2 linked regions of the Arabidopsis thaliana genome follow. The protein of the gene in region 2 purifies or fractionates together with the protein of the main gene of each other region. This does not show direct contact. Each region holds a gene or a part of one and is shown on either strand. Other genes may lie near its edges.

What was found.
Region 1: the proteins of AT5G37740 (region 2) and PYR1 purify together in Arabidopsis thaliana (affinity purification with western blotting, with the first as the bait; one study listed by BioGRID). This does not show direct contact.

What each region holds. Positions count from the first base shown.
Region 1 is NC_003075.7:9,927,046-9,930,531, forward strand, and holds PYR1 (Polyketide cyclase/dehydrase and lipid transport superfamily protein), read left to right. Parts: upstream 1-1,541; 5' UTR 1,542-1,746; coding exon 1,747-2,322; 3' UTR 2,323-2,830; downstream 2,831-3,486. UniProt on the Arabidopsis thaliana protein: Receptor for abscisic acid (ABA) required for ABA-mediated responses such as stomatal closure and germination inhibition. Inhibits the activity of group-A protein phosphatases type 2C (PP2Cs) when activated by ABA. Can be activated by both (-)-ABA and (+)-ABA.
Region 2 is NC_003076.8:14,989,939-14,993,699, reverse strand, and holds AT5G37740 (Calcium-dependent lipid-binding (CaLB domain) family protein), read right to left. Parts: upstream 1,652-3,761; 5' UTR 1,553-1,651; coding exon 1,442-1,552; intron 1,364-1,441; coding exon 1,334-1,363; intron 738-1,333; coding exon 642-737; intron 569-641; coding exon 269-568; 3' UTR 138-268; downstream 1-137. UniProt on the Arabidopsis thaliana protein: Stimulates the GTPase/ATPase activities of Obg-like ATPases. Mediates the transient calcium-dependent interaction of PYR/PYL/RCAR abscisic acid (ABA) receptors with the plasma membrane and thus regulates ABA sensitivity.

The DNA.
Region 1 (3,486 bases), on a different chromosome or scaffold from region 2:
ATACATGACCTACGGCGTTGCGGCAGTGGCACTGAACCGGAACCATCGACGGAAGTATTCGGTTCACATCTCCGCTCCCTTTCCGACGACCCACCATACCCGCAACAAGTCTCACACAATGTTTAAGCTCAATTTCCGACAAAATTGTTAGTATACATATACTTATAGACCAAGTGGATTGGATATCGTTAGTTAGTCACATTCTTTTCTTTATGATTAAGCCAAACGCAAGCTTGACTAAACTAATCATTCTCTACTTTTACTAAACACAGCTTGCGCTCCAGCCCCCACCCATTTGTTGAGTTCAAACTCGAAATCTTTCTTGTCTTCCCTACATAATGTATATATCATGTAAATTTGTTACCAATTCTTTGATTCTTTCAGTAATCAACAAGTGCTTATAAACTCAATAACAAGGTGTTTGCGTAATAAATATATTAAAAATAATTTTACTACTTTTAACTTCAAAATTAAAATGGCATCCTTATGAAGGGCTCTTCCTTGTCAAACTTGTTCATGCCTTTTTCTTATCAATCTGTTCTCGGAGCATTTTCTCTGCGAGTTTTCTCTTTGAAGTCTCTTCCCTACCACCTTGCTAAAAGATTCCTCTCCACTTGTTTGTTCCTAGTAAATCTTGTACTGTATAATAAGGTCTCTCTCGGATGTCCTCTTCCACCGTTTCTCTCCCAAAATTTTCTCCCTACAACTTTTTTTTAAGAACAAGTGTGAATCAAGTCCAAAAAAGTTGATCTTTATATCATCTTTTTAAAAACTCCTCTTAAAATGTTATTTATTTAATGTTTATTAAATATAATATATTTCTCTTTTTTATTTTTTTAATTTTATTTTTGAATAACAGGAGGTTCTGGACCGAAGTCCGTAATCCCTCTAGACCCGAAACCACATAATGTAATATTAGTTTCGTCTCAAGCGTCACTCGAACTGGCGACCTCTAAGGTTCGCCTAAAATCTTTACCAATTGAGCTAACGACACTTAATTTATTTTTTTAATAATCACAACTCCTTTGCATATATATTTATTTTTAGTTATAAAAAAATCTTTTTATTTTATTGTTAAAGAAAAATAATTTTATTGTTGCAAATTGTAGATTTGTCAAAGATTCATTAGATTTGTCACTAAATATAATACCCAACCAAAATGATATCTAAAAGAATTAATGAAACGTGAGTATATTTGTTTTCAACGACTAAAGAAACATATAAACAAAACTTATAAAAATATGAAATTGTTTTTGATAATTTCAAATGACAAAATAAAAAACTACAAACAATTTTCATCTCTAAGATTTCATTTTTTTCACCAAATAAAACCTACGAATATGAGTTCTTAAACAATAAAATAAAATCACCACACTCTTTAAAAAAAAAGAAACTTATACGAAAATAAGACTTATTCTCTTGAATAAGTAACAAATCCAATAGTTTATAACAGAAACTCCAGGTCATCTTTCTTTAAATATAAACAGATTCCATTTTTTGCATTATACACCCTTCCACTCTCACGTATATATATTTCTTACTTTACCCTTACTATTTAATATAATTCCATGTTTACCCTTCATCTTCCCTCTAAAATCCAACACAGAGAGATTTCAACGCTAAATAAAGAGAGAGAGAGTCTAAAAGCTCGTCGTCGTCTTCAATGGTGAATCTCAAACCAATTGGATAAATAAAACAAAACAAAAAAAACTTCACAAAAAAAAAAAAAAGATCCAAATTACAACCATGCCTTCGGAGTTAACACCAGAAGAACGATCGGAACTAAAAAACTCAATCGCCGAGTTCCACACATACCAACTCGATCCAGGAAGCTGTTCATCACTCCACGCGCAACGAATCCACGCGCCTCCGGAACTCGTCTGGTCAATCGTACGACGATTCGACAAACCACAAACATACAAACACTTCATCAAATCCTGCTCCGTCGAACAAAACTTCGAGATGCGCGTCGGATGCACGCGCGACGTGATCGTCATCAGTGGATTACCGGCGAACACATCAACGGAAAGACTCGATATACTCGACGACGAACGGAGAGTTACCGGATTCAGTATCATCGGAGGCGAACATAGGCTGACGAATTACAAATCCGTTACGACGGTGCATCGGTTCGAGAAAGAGAATCGGATCTGGACGGTGGTTTTGGAATCTTACGTCGTTGATATGCCGGAAGGTAACTCGGAGGATGATACTCGTATGTTTGCTGATACGGTTGTGAAGCTTAATTTGCAGAAACTCGCGACGGTTGCTGAAGCTATGGCTCGTAACTCCGGTGACGGAAGTGGTTCTCAGGTGACGTGAAAATGAAGAAAAAAATATGATTTAATTTCTTTTATTAAAAACAAAATCCAGAAATGTTATTTATGTTGCTTCGTATAAGATTCTCTTCTTCTTTTGTCTGTTTTTGCTTTTTTAACCTCATATAGTCATATTTTTACCATTTTCTTATGATGAGAATGACGTGCAAGGTTATTTTGGGCATTTTATGTTTGTGGATAACTATGAATCTTTCCATTTTCGTTAGGTATATTCCGGCGAGTAAGTCAAAATTTTCGGCTATGCAACAAACTCTCATAAAAAGTTACAAAAAAACTTACTATAAAGTTACCAAAGGTTTATTTGACACAAAAAAAAAAAAAGTAAATAACCATTCGTGTAAGGTTTTACTTTTCTTTGAATGTAAAAAAAAAGAAAGGTTTTCCTTTTCTTTTCCTTTTGTTAAAAAAACATGGGGATAAGATTTTTTTCACGTGTTTTTTGCTGTTATTGCTTTAAGTATGGTAGATTTAGTGTGTGATTCGTATGAAATTGTAATTACTTTTCATAGATTTCGCTTTTTTATCGATTACTTTTACATAATGTCCATGAACAAAACTTTAGTTTTTTTTCCCATGAACAAACTTTGTAACATATCGGTTGCCAAAAAAAAAAAAAACTTTGTAACACATGAACTCCCGATTTATTAACCAAACAACAACTTTTTTAAGAGTGGTAAAACGATAAAACAAATTGTGAAGGAAGAGATAGAGAAGACTAAAAAAACCATAAGTGGAAGTGTTTTAAGTTTTAACGAAGATGGTTTTAAAAGTGTGTGCCGTTTTTCATTCAGATTCGGGTTACCTTTTGCACTATAGTCAGGCTAGTGTCCCACTTGACTTGAATATATCACCATCATGTTTTATATAATTTATTGTTACAAAATTTGATGTGGGGAATCCATTATATGATACTATAACAATTTGTATATTTTATTATCGAATTTCAGCTGGATCGAGACAATAGCGAAAGGCCACTTTTATATTTTGTATAGTACTATTTTTAATTTCCTATTTGCAAACTTAAGACGAAGATCTTCTAATTAAGGCAAAGGTGATGATGATGTTGGTGCAAGTTGTGCCAGCTTGGTTAAATGTTGCAAGTTGCCAACTTGGTTATTAAACGCCGACACAAAGGTAGATTGAAAAA
Region 2 (3,761 bases):
GTTCACAAAGAAGAGGCGAAAGATCATTGAGTCTACACAATTCACGCTAATAAGACAGGATATTTATGTAGATATCCAAATGTTTACACTTACTCCTCATGGAATTGCAAACTTTTTGGAATCAAACAAGAGAAAAAAAAAACGAAATGAGTTTATTACACAAGCCAGTTTGAGATTCTTTCATTGACCAGTTTTAAACTGCACCATAGTTCTAGTTTCTAACCATATGCACAAGGGACTAATAAAGATCGGATCGATATGATTTGACCTAAATACCCCTTGAACCCGGGACATCGATCCACTCGAGCTGTAGCTCAACCTCTCCACACTCCACGTGCTGGAGTCTAAGGAACATATTCTGGACAATCTTGCCTTGGTTCAACACAATGTGGCTTGATTCAGACAAACAATTTTTTCTGCTCGGCTCTATCTTCTTTATTATGGTCCCATTAGGAAGTCCTGGTCCGAGCTGATGGGCAAATTTAATAGCTTCAATAAATGGACCAATGTGGAACTCGGCTTCTCCCATCTTGTCATCCGCGGAGAGCAAGTCATAGTCATAAACCGTCTGCATCATAATTCCCACCGCTTATCATTCTGGTTCAGCTATCATGCTACAATATAATGTAAGGATTACTTACAAGTTTAATCGGGAGATTCGGATCAGTCACGGAAAGTGTCAAGTCGTCGTTCCACTCGGGGTTTACACTATGTTTCACCACGCGTGTTTTCAACTTCTGTATCACAATCACAAACAAAAGATTCAAGAACTAGCAAATGCTTTTGATTGATCTTAAGGTAAGTCAAAAGGCGACAACACAAGTTACAAATATTTCGTGGTGGAACCAGAAGAGATTGATGTTGACATCAAAAAATCAATGGCTTTTCACCAATATTCCAATGTTCATAAAGATCTCATGTGCAAAGGACCCACTAATATGAAACGAAGCAAAAGTCTACTTCTTCATTTACATGTATGCAAATTATAAACTATATAACTCAAACTCTATTCAGAGAAGGTATTAACTGGTTATTAATTTGGATTAGGTTAAGACAACTCATAACTAGTACTATTCAGACATATACCAAATCAAAAGTCAGAGACTTCACATTTAGCTTGTAAAGATTAGGTATAACTAAATATGTGATGTCAACCCTCAAAAACTGCCTCCAATCCATTATTGATAACCAAATTTTTAATCAAATTTCTAGTTAGTTTTGAGATCTACAAAAAGAATCAATAATCCACTGTCAAATTATAAAAGACCTCATTGAGTTTCACTACATAGACTCATCAATAATCTTATCTCTTTTATAATAAAAGTTTTACTACCGACCAACAGTTCAATAAACGCATCAGATTCTACTAGATGCATAACCAGATTTATTCTAAGATGCAAAACAGAATTGGCTAAAATGGAAGAGAATAAATTTTTGGTACCTGTTTACCGCAGTGAACGACGATGTAAGGATCACTGCTTGAGATGTCTCTAATGGCGAGATTCACACCTCTTTTCACATGAATTCGAAGAAGACCTACAAGATTCTCCATTGTTTGTTTTTCTTTTTGTTTTTTTCTCTCGTAGAAAGTTTGTTGGAGTGGGTGTGATGATGAGAGACTTGGAGAATTCGGACAGCTCTGATGAGGTTTTGTGACTTTTGTCTATTTTCTTATATAGATACGGAACTGATTTTATCTTCTTTATTTTTCCGAGGATGGATATATTGTAGACTTTTCTGCCTCGAGCCACCTCTGTCTCTTTTTTACTTTAATTGTTTACCATTTCTAAAAAGACATGTAAAACAAAATAGATTATTGGAAAACAAGAAATTAAGTGAACAATACAAAAATAATAATAGAGGAACACAAAAAATACAAAACAAACGTTGAGAAACCGAAGAGATTCTAACTAATTTTAATAATTTTTCTAAATCATATGCTTCATCCTTTTTATTAAATTGTGGAGGTTGAAGATGTTGTACTATATTTTTCTAAAGTTACAAATTCTTACAATCATTTGTTTCTTTTTCTTTTAATTTAAAATATTGTATTGTCCAAATTTGTCTTACTCGTTTTTAGAGAGTGTTATGTTAATTCATTAGCTGGTTAATTTTTTTTTTAATAAGAATTCTGACCTACTTTGCCTCTTAAAAATTTATGATTTTTTATATGATATGTTTTTGTTTTGTTGTTTGGTGTTTTTTCCTCTTATTTATTATAATTGAGTTGAGAAAAAAAAAACTAGTACTTTTAGTTTTGGATTAGATGGCAATAGGTCGTGTAAAGGTTTTTAGGGAATTTAAATGTTAGTTTGAATTAGAAAACCAAATGTTAAAACTGTATTATCCGGGGGAGGTGACGGATTAGTCAATTTCTATGGGTATTTTACCGACTATTTAAATAATTTTTGTCGTATTCAATTGACCAATACACTCAATTATTCGTCTCGATGATGCAGCTAATTAGAAAGTTAGTATTTAATTACGCAATTAATTTTTAATTACGGGCACATGTCACGCCAAATTTGGATTTGACCAGCAAATTAGAGTTTGAAGACTTTAATTCTTTTTTCCTTAACTATAAACAAAGGTCTGGTACGTATTTGATTTCCATCACCATAACTATAAACAAAGGAGTATGATTTTGTTGCGCGAAAATTTATTTTTTCTAGCCTTCCAAAATTTTCATGCAACTAACCAAAAGTGGCAGTGTAAATTGGTAATAAATCAGTATAATTAGAAACAATCATTGACTAAAAAACTATACACAATATTACAATATATTATGGACCAAAAGTTATTGTATTTTATAAGATTTCCAAAATTTCATGCAACTAATAAAATTAGGATTAATTATAGAAAAACCATAATAAAGTATGGTCTATTATGAATTTAGCCATATTCTCGAGTGATTATAAAGACGGATATTTTTGTTTTTTCTAAAATATTAATTTGCCTTTATTATTTTTTCTTCTTTAAAATTTTAATTGGGTCTTGAGATATAATTTTGACGAAAATGACTTAAGATTTGCTCATGATTCACAATCATATACTTTTCAGTTATTGCATACATGATTGTTCTGAGTTCTTTAGACATTATCTTTTACGGTTAAGATGATTCGATCCGCATCTATAATTAGAGAATTTGGGTTCTATAACATCATCTCTTAGAGCTTAGATATCTTACATCAAAACTTGTTTAATTAGTTCTATTGGATTCATCGAAAAAGGTTGGTCGTATAAACGTTGTGTGAATCATCGAAGCATAAGGAAACGATATTGATGGAGTCGAAAATAATGATTTTGATGGAATGTAGAGTCGGTGTTAATAAACAAATTTGATTATCACGACGGAGAGAATTGCAGTCGATGGAGACGGTGAGGGTTGTTGGTCTCATGACGGAAAAAACGAATTGGATTATCATCAACAAATTTGAAGGCGAAATCGTCATTTTGCGGACCAAACAGTACCCAAGCTTATAAGTCCAAGTAGAATATACTTCTATTCTAGTTTTTATGTCAAAATATGCCCATATGTACAAAAGGCTCAACAAAAATAGATCAATTTTAAGTTTAAAAAGTGCCTACACATTTGTGGTCTACTAGTGGTTGAGAATTGAAGAAATGTTGAAAGGAACTAATACATGTTCAATCCACCTAAGAAACAAAAAAAAAACATATTTGTATGAAAAGTATGAGTTTCGACCAAATACGCAAACAATTCATTTGGTAATTAGTAATAGGCGATTTGATGATCCAAG